Nothobranchius furzeri: one gene and its partners. The protein of the gene in region 3 purifies or fractionates together with the protein of the main gene of each other region. This does not show direct contact. Links are inferred from orthologs where the notes say so. Each region holds a gene or a part of one and is shown on either strand. Other genes may lie near its edges.

The links.
Region 1: the proteins of bag3 (region 3) and dnajb6b purify together in Homo sapiens (co-immunoprecipitation; 3 studies listed by BioGRID and IntAct, with this or other methods). This does not show direct contact. The link is inferred for Nothobranchius furzeri from reciprocal best matches to the Homo sapiens genes BAG3 and DNAJB6.
Region 2: the proteins of bag3 (region 3) and pdlim7 purify together in Homo sapiens (affinity purification with mass spectrometry; 3 studies listed by BioGRID and IntAct, counting the BioPlex papers as one, with this or other methods). This does not show direct contact. The link is inferred for Nothobranchius furzeri from reciprocal best matches to the Homo sapiens genes BAG3 and PDLIM7.

The regions. Positions count from the first base shown.
Region 1 is NC_091747.1:47,512,833-47,516,977, forward strand, and holds the start of dnajb6b (dnaJ homolog subfamily B member 6b), read right to left. Parts: upstream 2,801-4,145; 5' UTR 2,639-2,800; intron 1-2,638. UniProt on the Homo sapiens protein: Has a stimulatory effect on the ATPase activity of HSP70 in a dose-dependent and time-dependent manner and hence acts as a co-chaperone of HSP70. Plays an indispensable role in the organization of KRT8/KRT18 filaments.
Region 2 is NC_091741.1:103,242,189-103,246,444, reverse strand, and holds the start of pdlim7 (PDZ and LIM domain protein 7), read left to right. Parts: upstream 1-1,456; 5' UTR 1,457-1,821; intron 1,822-2,422; exon of another isoform or gene 2,423-4,256. UniProt on the Homo sapiens protein: May function as a scaffold on which the coordinated assembly of proteins can occur. May play a role as an adapter that, via its PDZ domain, localizes LIM-binding proteins to actin filaments of both skeletal muscle and nonmuscle tissues.
Region 3 is NC_091752.1:5,543,179-5,547,349, forward strand, and holds the start of bag3 (BAG family molecular chaperone regulator 3), read right to left. Parts: upstream 2,801-4,171; 5' UTR 2,773-2,800; coding exon 2,602-2,772; intron 1-2,601. Other genes in the region: tial1 (nucleolysin TIAR), read left to right, coding at 3,892-3,920. UniProt on the Homo sapiens protein: Co-chaperone and adapter protein that connects different classes of molecular chaperones including heat shock proteins 70 (HSP70s), e.g. HSPA1A/HSP70 or HSPA8/HSC70, and small heat shock proteins (sHSPs), e.g. HSPB8.

The sequences.
Region 1 (4,145 bases), on a different chromosome or scaffold from region 3:
TACATAACCATGACCAAATCAAAAGTCCATTTTTTAACGATGTGAAAGTTGAAAAAATTGTTGAAAAAGTAAAAAGCCTCACCCAAGTTCTATACATGTGATTTACTTTGCAATTTTGCAAGATCCCGTGCCTATTTTCTTTTCTTTTACCAACTCCATGATTACAATGTAATAGGACAGCTAGAAGAGATTTGTCAAGAGCAAGAGAACATCAGACCCTGATGTTAACAAGACCAGAGTAGTGGACAAACAGACTAGGAGCAGCAAGGTCTTAACATAAATCATAAGTGAAGGAAGAAAAACGACTAGTGGCTTAGAACGATGCAATAACAAGCAGGTTCCCTCACCTGACATGATTTACAGCAACAAGAGAATTTACAGAATGGGCTCATGAACAGGAGCCCGTTTAGGTGGATTTGAATATAAGATGCCTTGAAGAAAATAATCAGTATGTGGAAAAGTTACAACTACAATAGCAATAAATAAACAATAAATAAACATTTCATGTGCAGGAACAAACTAAAAGGTACAAATTCATCTCTAAACAGTAAAAGCGTATAGTGTCTCATCAAGCAGTCAAACTCAGGACTAGTTTATGAAGTCTTGATTTTAACCACAGACTGTATGAATAATGGAAAAAGACCTACTCCGTAAGACAGGAAGCTGATCTGAAAGTACCTTAAAAGGTTTATTTTTGAGTGGGGAATCCTAAACTGTGTTTCAAAGTTATAAATAATTGTATTATCCACTGTAGAAAGTTTCCTGGACAACAAGCAAGCAGAGACTCAAGAGTTTTGCTGCCATCCTTAAACAGCTACAAAATGTTATAGAGGTTCATGCAAACACCATTTATAAATCTTTGACGGAAATTCCATGCAAATAATTACGTTATGCATCGTGAATGAAGTCTAATTAGTCCTGCAAATCAAGGCCGCCACGGAAGCTACCTAGAAAGGGTAAAATAGTAAACATGTATAACTTTTACACAGAAAAGAAAAAATAATCCAGTTATTTTCACAGAACGTTGCTGACTCCAGAACATTCATGGCTTCTGGTATCTTGTGATAACTGTGATAATCCCGAAAGAAAATCAACATTAAGCACTTTTATCTGAAACCAATGTTTACTGAAATTTTAAAGGTCAACTTTACTCATATTTTTAATACATTTGTAGGGAATCCTAGTAGAAATGGGTGCCTTGTAAGTTGTTCCCTGGAGCAAAAAAAGCTATAGTGCATCTGTGTGAGGACTTAGAAGTTAGCCAGTGGAGAAAGTAGCTTCAGACAACAGGATTTGGAGTCTTATTTCCTGATATTTGGACATTTGTTCTCTGATTGGCCAACAGCAGTGCAACTCTACCATTGACTCTGATTGCTTTGCAACATTGATGATTGATTTGATCTCCACAAATAAGCCTGGAAGAGTTTTGCTATGCTGTGGAAATGCCAGTGATAGCTTCTACTAGCTGAATATTCTCTGCTGTTTCCTAGATGCTAAACCAACAACAGCCTTCCTCTTCGTGAGCCAAGATGGGTGGGTCCATTCATGTTAAGTAACAGCATGACATAGATCTGTCAGGTTTTTCTGAACTGAGCATTCTTTCGTTTATTTTCCATCAAAATATAATGCAGGAAATAGAGGTAGAAGACCATTTTCAAGTTCAGCCTGTTTGTTAAAGCGATCATTTTCAAAAATAAATAAATTGTTTCTCAGCTTTTTAAGATAAAACTTTGACATCCACATAAAATTACTTTTTTGTATTAATCAGCAAAAATAAAACAAATTCTAATTAGATGTGAGCTCATCTGTATAAGAATAACGCAGTTTAAAACAGTGTAGGTTTTTTTAAACACTGTAGTTTTTTTTGATGGGCATTCAAATTGATATAAAACAACACTGGGGAAACATTTTTCAGAATATAGCCGTTCCATTTGACACTCAAAACATCATTATCTAATTTTAAAAAATCTTTATTTCTAATAAACAAAATTACTTTTAAACATTTTGTTGCCATTCGCGTGTTTATGCTAAATTTGGGAAGTTAAAGGTCCAATCACGCTGCTAAGTGATGTGGCAACTTGTGTAAACTTCTCAGGATTTGGAAAAACTTCCAGAAACTCAGTTTATTTCGCAGTTTAGGAACAAAACACTTCAAAAATGAATCTACCAATAAACTATCGAAAACTTGGAAAAATTGTACTGTTGTACAAAACAAAATTCAGCTAACGTTAGCAGTACACAATTCCTTACGACACTATGACGCTAAATAAAAATGATTATCCTGACGAGCACAAAAACATTATTATGGGATACTGTTTAAAAAGTCGTTTTAAAATGAGGCTAACTGTAGCACTGCCTTATTCTCTGGTTGGCAGCTACCACGAATAGCTAGATTAGCTTACCATTAGCCGGTACATCTGAATATCACTAACACGCGATCACGGGCGGATTAATAATCAGCACGACTTTAACTTATATTAAACGTCTTATGAATTATGAAACATTACCGTCGACGATTAGCACATAGCAGAGCCGCACAGCACCCCCAGCATGAGACTATGCGGCAGAAGAGGCTTTCACCGCTTTTTACTGAACCCTCGTACTGTGTTGACTTTCGTCTAAATCAAGAAATGCTTACCAGAATAAAGGCAATATCCACCCCAATAGCCTCTCTGTTGATGTGGTTCAAACTATTTCCGTTTAAGAGTACAAACTGTGTCTGTAAGTAGAGGTGGCTGGTTATTGATGGTGGAGCTGAAAGATATATCTGGCCTTGCCCACTACTAGGAATGCTGCATTCACGTGCAGTAGGAAATCACATCATGCACCATGACACTTGCGGGTTTTTATTATTATTATTTTTATTTATATGTTCCCGTTTCTTTTTGTAGATTGTTTAAATATCTTCTTTTTTAAGATTATGGATACAAATAACATGCAAATAAGACTATGAATAGTCGAACCACGTGTCAGAAACTGTTATTTATTGTTTTCTAATCTTTGTTCTTACGAGGGTCTATCAAGGTAGCACGTCTTTCAACGTGGAAATCAGCGTTTTTGTCTGTTTTCACCGAACCTGCCCCGGTAGAGGGCAGCTAATTGTGTAAATCCCGTTGATGTAAAGTGTAAATGCAATATCAAGCTATTCAAATGACGTTGATAAAAGATTAGTTTTGTTTGAGGACAACAACCTTTGTCTCAAAATGTTTAGGTGACACAAACTTGCCTTGTGCGCCCTCTGTCGTCTGCTGAAGTAATAACATTACTATTGGTGAAAGGAGTTGAAAGCCACCACTGTGAAGCTTTGGTTGATTTTTCTGCTATATGGTTGTTGTTGTTTTTTTCTAAGTCACCCACAGTGTTCTAAAAGGGTATTTTGCCACTTACAGATTTCTTCAACATCCTGTGATCAAATTTGGGTACTGCAGTTCTTCTAAATGAGTCCACGTTGAGCAATTGTTGCTATATCACGGACACGCACCGGAAGATTCTAGGCAAGGCAGCTTAATTTATTGAGCACATTTCAAACACAGAGGCAGTTCAATGTGCTTTACAATTAACAAGGCATGACATGAAAACACAAATTAAAATACACACAAATGGAATTACAGTTTAGAGCTAAAGGAGAAGACAAAGTTACAGGGCAGATCACAGTGGAGATGACGCAGCATAGGAAACAATTCATTTAAAGGCTGATGAGTACATTAGGGTTTTTACTTTTGTTTTAAACAACAGTAGGGTTGGGGCACATCTGAGGTCATGGGGAAGCTGATTCCATATGTGAGCAGCATAGTAACTATATCTCCATCATGTTTTGTTCTGACCCGTGGTTCTACCAGCTGGGTGTTTCCTAAGGATATCAGAGCCCTATTGGGAGTGTATACAGAAATTCAAGTTCAATTCAAGTTTGATATAGCGCCAAATCATGACAAGAGTCGTCTCAAGGCATTTCACGAATGAGATCAGACATGTATTTTGGTCCTATGACATTGAGTGATTTATAAACTAGTAGGAGCACTTTGAAATCTTTTCTGTTGTTTACTGGTAACCAGTGTAGGCATCTAAGAACAGGAGTGATGTGCTCCATTCTTTTAGTTCTTGTTAAGACTCTAGCAGCATTCTGAACAAGCTGCAGCTGCTTCACA
Region 2 (4,256 bases), on a different chromosome or scaffold from region 3:
AGGTAAGGTAAGGAAATGCCATCAGAGGAGCCGTCTGCCCCGGCAGCATCAGGTCTTCCACAGCAACTAAGTCAGGGCGCTCAGAGGAGGGAGAGCATATACCCCAACTTCCACTCAAACACCACCTGTAGAGCGCCCAGGAAGCAACAGTCGAACACCGCCCCTGGGGCAGAGGGCTCCTACAGAGAAAACACTGTATTAAATTGAGTAAAAATATGAAAATAAAAGAGATAATATAAATCACTAAAGTAAGAAAATAAATGATAAATAAAATATATGGAGAGTAAAATAATACTATAATTAAATCAATGCTTAGTGATGTGAGGTCAAACTCAGTTCAGAAGAGTGAGGTGAATGCTCACTTCACTCTCCTGTGCCGCTCAGAATGGCCAATTCAATTTGAATTATGAAACACTTTATGCAGGGCAGGCATGAAAAAGACAAATCAGTTCCTCTTTCTTTATCCTTTTCATTAAGTCACAGAATGGGCAATGAAGAAGAAGAAAATTAAAAAGCAGTTTAGAGGATTGTTATATCATTTTAATTGTGAGTCACACTAAGCAGTTGTAAAAAGAAAATGAAAATGCATTTCTGCTAATATATTTTAATTTTCAGATTTGACATTTCAAATAGAATTTTGTTACACATTTGCTGGAGTGTTATTTGAAAATTAGTTCTCAAATGCCTTTTTCTTTAGCATTTTCATGAAGTCACAGAATGGGCAATGATAAATAAGAAAATTAAAAAGCAGTTTTGAGAAATGCTTTTTCATTTTGATTGTGTCACACTAAGCAGTTGTGTAGTGAATATGAAAAAGCATTTCTTCTAATGCAGTTTAATTTTCAAATTTGACATTTCAAATAGAATTTTGTTACTTTTTGCTAGAGTGTTATTGGAAAATTACATCTTAAATGTTTTTTTCTTTATCCTTTTCATTAAGTCACAGAACAAGCAATGATGAAGAAGAAAATGAAAAAGCAGTTTAGAGGACTGCTATATCATTTTAATTGTGAGTCACACTAAGCAGTTGTAAAGTGAAAATGAAAATGCATTTTTGCTAACGCAGTTTAATTTTCAGATTTGACATTTCAAATTGAATTGTTACACATTTACTGGAGTGTTATTTGAAAATTAGTCCTCAAATGTTTTTTTCTTTATACTTTTCATGAAGTCACAGAATAAGCAATGATGAAGAAGAAAATTAAAAAGCAGTTTGGAAGATTGCTCATTAATTTTATTTATGAGTCAAATTTGGCAGTGGTAATATAAAATGAAATATCATTTCTGCTACTGCATAATAATAAGAGTTTTGTTACACATACGCTTCCATAAAACTGCACTTTAGCGAGAGAACACGGGTTTCTGCAAAATGAAAAAGCCAATCATAGGAGAGCCTTTCTAGGCTATGAGAGGCGAGAAAGGCGGGACCTTCCTTGGACATCCTACGATTCCAAATTACGCATGTGACAACGTCTATGTTGTTACACAGAAGCTAACATTGTTCGAGGCTTGGAGGATTACGCTCATTGCAATATTGCAATGACTTGGGGTCAGCACGGCCTCTCATCCCGGTTGAGGACAATAACATATTTTGCTGACCAGACATTGGGGCTTCTTGTAGCCCGGGATCACGTGACCGGTGACGTTCCAGAAGCCTCATGCTAAAAGGAATTTCAGAACTTCATCGTTCAGCAGGAGTAACCGTGGCGGCCCCTTTAAGAGGTTTGAGACGTTCCGGACAAAGTAACTATTTATTCATCATTCGGCAAAAAAACAACAACCATACTAGTGAAGTCTGTCGGAACTAGTGAGGGCAACGAGGTAAGCGTTTTTAAACCTCCTTCCTGACCGGAACAGCGTCTACATACTGTTTTAACGAACTTGACGCAGTTGTCAACCATTGACGTATTCCCCCCCCCCCCCCCCCCGTTTCAGTTCTTTTGCCTGTTTTTTGTTAACTTATGAGTTTTCTAGTTTATTATCCTGTCTGTTGTGTCGCTAAGTGTTCCCAGCATGAAGCTTCATTAACACTCGTATTAAAGGGACATTGTGTAGTTTTTATCATTAGTCTCTAGAAATAGCCATCGAAATGTTGTTGTAAACTAATTAAAAGATGCCCGGTTGTTGAAAAATATTGGCGGTTTCTTAACATATAACCATATAAATATGTTTTAAAATATTTCGGAGCGAGTCTAAGGGTGTTTCTCAATGAGGAACCTCGTCTTGGTCCCAGGTTGCCTAGGAGATACGTCATCAGAAACTGCCAAGGCCTGTTCCACTGGGTGTTTCTCAGTGCCAAGGCGCCTGGCCTTGTAAGGTGATGTCTTGCGACGCCAGGCGCCTTGCTTACGAGGACACTGTCCATCCTTGGTCAAAGAAAACGGTTAAATGGAACAGACTTGCATCACGTGACCACGGCTTACATGGCGGTCATGGGAGAAAACGTTATATTCTACCGAGGCGTCTGTTCTTCGTTTGTTAGCCATTTAGCTAGCTGAGCAAGGATACACAAGAGGTGTCTTGTAGGTTACCTTGGTCAAAATATTCCCAGAATACAGCGTGATATTTTCAAAAGGATGGCGGATAAGAAGCCGGCAACTACTTCAGGGGCAAATTTCAAGTTTAAATCAAAGATACTTTTATTAACCCCAGAGGGAATTAACATGTAAGTCAAATCATTGTAGTGATCGGGCTGATATCTAAAATGTTATTTTTTTTCAATCCAAAGAAGTTGTCTATGGTTGGTTAGTTGTTTAGTAGTTGCAGCTTTGGTGGCTAGCAGGTAGTAACTCACAAATATATACACACTTTAAAAAGTAAAAGGTTCATTATATATTTATATTGAAACATATGCGCATAAAATATAACGTTTTCTCCTGTGTCATGTGGTGCAAGTCTGTTCCATTGAACCGTTTTCTTTGACCAAGGAAGGACAGTGTCTTTGTAAGCAAGGCGCCTGGCCTCGCAAGGCCAGGTGAAACACCCCCAAAGTCTCTGGGCAATGCCATATTGGATGCCATGTTTCATGCTACGAAAGGGCGTAAGAAAAAAACACATTTACTGATTTATATCAAATGGTTAAAAAACTTCCACCAATAATAAACGTTGTTATTTTACACATTTACTTCTTCACTCTTGGCGGTGATGAAAGGGAATCTGATGTGCTTGTCATTTTGCTGGAGTTTGCAATCCCTGGGATTTTTTACCCTAATGGCCATCTGTTGGTAAGGTCTTATTTGAACACAAAAATAATGCATACTTGCAGTGATTTAGGTACGTACTGCCCCCTATCATCAGGGAAAATAAACACTCTCATTAAAAACATTGAAAAGTCTAAAAGCTGTTAACTCCCGTGCATATCTTGGCTTCATTGGTACACAATGGGGCATTATAATTATAAATCAATTGAGTTTTTTTTACATTAGACCAAAATGAACTGAAACATTAACTATGAGCACTGTGATGTATTATTTTTGTACATTTAATTGCAGCACTATGATCATCATCAAGCTAAGCTGTTTAAAAGAGCTTATCATTTTGTAATGTGGTGTGAGAAAATCTATTTCATGTTTTAAGCAGTTTTCATCACAAATATGTGCAGCTTTTGGAGTTTTATTCAGAGTGATGCTTTTTGGTAGCTGAAACTCTAGAAGGCACATATTCTGACTTCTATTGAGAATATTGACCCTAACCCTAAATAGTTCAAAGTTGGTGCCAAAGCCATTTTAAACGAGCTATCGCCATCTTAGTTTCGCTCAGTGTCAATAAGAATCCGCCCACCAAACTGAGAGTGCTGTGATTGGCACGCCACCAGACTGGTTATGGGCTCCAGAGGTTCCAGTGGAGCGTGGCTAGACCGACATGCAGAGCAAAATCATTTTGCTTCTGCTACCGTCTGTCTAGATTTCTAGACTGGGGTCCTCAGCTTGTTGCTTACTTTTTATTAGATCAAAACTGATTTTTATTAATCAACTTTATTATCTATGAGTACACCACTGTTTCAGTGTCACTAAAAAGGAGCTGCAATGGGGCTTATATGATTTGATGTTTTAAATCTAATTGTGGGTTTGGTTTGTGATTTGCTTCGAACTATCCTGAAAGACGGTAGACTTCCATGGCTTGAGTTGTCTTTCTCCTGGATCTCCAGTACATATACGAAACAAACCAAGTGAAAAAGTTGATATGTGATGGACCTTTGCCTGAGTTTTGGTATAGTTGATGTTGCTCCCCACCCCCCAGGCCTGTGACTCATGTGG
Region 3 (4,171 bases):
ACTTTCCCCTTTATATAACGTATAGGTGATTTCCAAGTGAGACTCTTAAAGAGATTGACTCGTTGTTCTTGAGCTTAAAGAGACAATGTGTAGTTTTTAATCATTCATTTCTGGAAATATCCATCAAAATGTCGTTAAATTAATGGAATGATGCCCAGTTGTTGAAAATGATTGACGGCTTTGTATAATAACCATAAAAATCAGGTCTAAAATACATGGGAGTGGGTCTAAGTCTCTGGGTGACTCCATATTAGATGTCAAGTTTCCTTCTAAGGGAGCCCGTGAGGACAAATTGCATTTACTGATTTGTAACAAACAGTTACAAAACTTTTGTCATTCTTAAATGTTGTTTTACACATTTACCTCTTCACTTGTTGCCACTGATTAAAGGGAGTCTGATGTGCTTGTCATTTTACTAAAGTTTGCACTCCCCAGGGCTTTTTGACCCTAATGAGCATCTGTCGCTTTCCGCAGCCGCTCGCTTCCGAACTCAATTTTTACTGGTACCCGCTCTACAACGGCTCCGCTCCGGTGCAGAGACCTGAGGTGCGCAAACAGGCATGCGCTGGATTTTCGAGATCTTGCGATACAGTCCGAGCAATAAATGCTCGTTGGAAGTTAGATCCAAACACCCGTTGTGTGGGGGAAGCATCGAAATGAACTGTTTAATCTGCCCATCATTTGTGTTGAGAGATCAGCAGTGTTTGGATCAACAAAGTGTGACTACTTTGATAGTAGAAACTGTATTTATGGCTTATGTTGTGCATTTAAAGTTCAACCGCCATTGATAGTTGTTAAAAGTTGTTAAACATGTGCATATGAAACAAAAAACGTTTTTTGTTTATCGATTTATTGTGAAATAACGGAAGTTGTGCTTGCTCCCTTTCCTGTTGGGCGATTGTGATTTCTGTCCTTTGACTGCGGAGGTGCTCCGGCGTCCGGCAAAAATAGAATCAATCCATTTTTGCCGGATGGCGGAACGGCTCACTGCGCCGCACGGCCGCAGTAGTGGAACAGCTCTGATTGACTACAACGGGACCGTTTTTGCTGCAGAGTTCGTGCCGGAGCGGAGATAGTGGAATTTTGGGGTTACTCAAACACAAAAATACTGCTTGCTTGCAACGATTTATGTATCTACTGCCCCCTATCGCCAGGAAAAATACACACCGTCTCTTTAATTGCAGTTGTTGCCTTCAAGAACAGTGGCGCCCCCAAGTGGTGGCCAGAGGGGGGCCTTGACCAATCCTGGAAAATTGCTGGCCACCTCAGAGCACTTCCACTCTCCAACCTCCTTTAATAAATCATATTTATGTTCAATATTTATGTTCACAAAACTATACATTAGTCTTCTTTAATAAAATGTAAAACCTTACAAATATAGAAATAAGTAAACAAATTAATATGTTGCTGCTGTGCACCATTTTCAAGAAGAAGTACAAATATCAATCTGTTTTGTAAAATGCATTCATTAAGACAGCGACAGATACATCCAGCTGTTCTAAACTACTAAAAAGTAAATGTTAAAGTATGAATAAATTAAATATTTGAAGTTTCTTATTTTCTCAAATATAACATTTCTGCTGCATATTTTTTAAGAATGGATGAGGATGCAGAGCACAGCTACAGGCTAAAAAACTCAAGAGTTACCAAGAGAACTAGTTTGATGTGCCACCCTTAAATTTTCCTTGGCCCCCCAATCTTGTCCCCCATGAAAATGTCCTGGTGCCGCCTCTGTCCAAGAGTGTTCAGAGTTATTGGTTAAGAGAACTTGAAGTCTTCATCTGAAAACTGCATTTTGTCTTTGCTGATCTGAAACATTTATGCGTGACAACAAAAAGAACAAAAGCAGAAGAAATCTGTAAAGGTGCAAATACTTTTTTTACATAAGCCTCAGAATGATCAAACACCAACACTGAAAGTGCCCCATGCAGCTGAGATAATAAAAAATAAATAAAATACAACTACAAGCAGGGCATTAATGTGTGAACTATTGATAATCCTCCAGCAAAAGTTGAGAAATAGCCGTGAACGACCCTTTGCCCTCTGCCTGGTCCAATGCACCAATTTTATCCCTCAACAGCTGTGTCTTTCTAGCAGATTCCTCAGGACACTAACTTTGGAAAACAGTGTCTGTCCCTATGAAGAAAGATTACCCAGCTGGCAGCCTGTGGAGCTCACGTCAGCCCACGGATTTGATTACAGACCTGTAGATTTCTACATTTCCACATCTAAACAACCAGATTCAATATCCTAAATGGAATGGGACCCAACTGCATTTTATTTTGTGGGTAAAAAAGTTTATAATGAGTTTTCCACCTAAATTAACGCTGGTATCAGAAAGCCTTGACACTCGGCAGTGAGTCATCGGGTAATAATAGTGTTAGATCATGACTCGGGAACATAACGGGGCTGATCACCCGTTTTATTAGGCTTATGAGCAGTCAGTGAGGGGGAGGCGACGGGACCTAACAAGGCCTACAGTCAACAAGATTAACACAAAACAGCCATGTAGCGTAGCGACTCCAGCAGCTTAACACAATCCGTAACCGACGCAGCACCCTACGGAAACCCGTTGAAACAACTTTATCCCGCCTCCGTTACCTTTTTGGTGTCGTGTCTCGGGTCATTCCAGGTTGTCGTCCGGTTGTTGTGATCCACGAAAAAGGGCCATCCAGTGTGAGGGTCGATTTTGACTTCCCATCCGAGGGGGAGCTGGTCGATGTCATTATCAGCCATCACAAGTGTCGGAGAGTGCGTCTTCACTGCGTTCATGGCGAGTACTGAGACATTTTTTATGGGCGGCGGTCCCTTTAAAGATTCCTGCGAGTGACGTAGGAAAGTGGGCTGGAAGTTTCTCGAAATAGCGGGGTTAATGTCGGGGGCGGCGGACCGCGCTGGAAGCAGCGGCATGGCGGCTACTTCTTGTGTCGCAGACACCCCCCAACAAAAGACACTACATTAATTTAGTTATAGTTGGTGTTTACAGAGAGCAGCTATTACCAGCTCTACTTTAATAACAACCCCAGAATCACGTAATAACCCTGAAACCTTCTCACTCACGCATGCGCAAATCTATTAGACCTGGGGTTTGAACAGCAGTTTTTCCCCTCAATCCAATTTGCTTAGAGATGCAACTGCTAAACCTGTTTATGCGTCTGCATCGGTGCGGAGACACAAAACGCCAGGAACTTGAAACAAATATGATTTATCGTTCTGATAAATATCTACGGAGGAGAATTAAGGCCACTGATAAAAAGTTATTTTCTCAGATTTCTTAGATTGTAAGAATTATGAGAAAGGGTAGAATATTGGCTCCTTTCTGAGATTAAAATTAGAAATATGTATGTCATCTAGTCTGTTATAAAATGTGTGTCATTTTTGTGAGGAAAAGAACCCCATCTTGTTTCTATTATCAAGTTTAAAAATTCGGAAAACCTTGTGAAAAATGAGTACCGATGCTTGTTTTGTTCGAGTCCAAATCGTGAAAACCTCGAAATACAAAACGAGCGTACCCATGTAATGGACTTCAAAATAAAAGCCTTTTACGTAAATTGCGTTGCTTTCGAAAAGCAAGAGGGAAATAAGTCATTATATTCTCTGAATCAACTGTTTTATTCAATTAATTTCTATTTACACACGGTGAATTCAACTTACAGAATAAAATTAAGCCATTTATAGCTTCGAACTAAAGGTTGACCCAGACCCTTTGGGTTGACCTTTCGGTGCTCATGCGCAGGCGCAGTTAGCACACTCAGCGTGACGTAAGAAACGTTGCCCGGTTAGCTTTCTAAGCTAGTTAGCTCGTTGTTTACAGCGTTTATCTCTCAGTCTACGTCCTTTAATTACCAAATAGTTTATATTTTTTCTACGACGTCACGTTCAGTGTTGGTCATGGACGACGAAAGTTACCCCAGAACCCTGTAAGTATTTTTAGTGTTTTCGTGGTAGCTAGCTTTCGTTTGGTTTCTCATACGCAGCGGCTAACTGAGCTACATGTCCAAAAAACAAGTGTAGACAACGTTCAATATTAAGTGTTAATTTACGTTTTTAATTAGTAGGCGTTCAAAAACACGTATATTTCGACGATTAAAAAAAACGTTAGTTCAGATGAGGGATTACCTTAAACAGTTTCACATTGGAAACGAGGATATTTATATAACGTTAGCTGGTA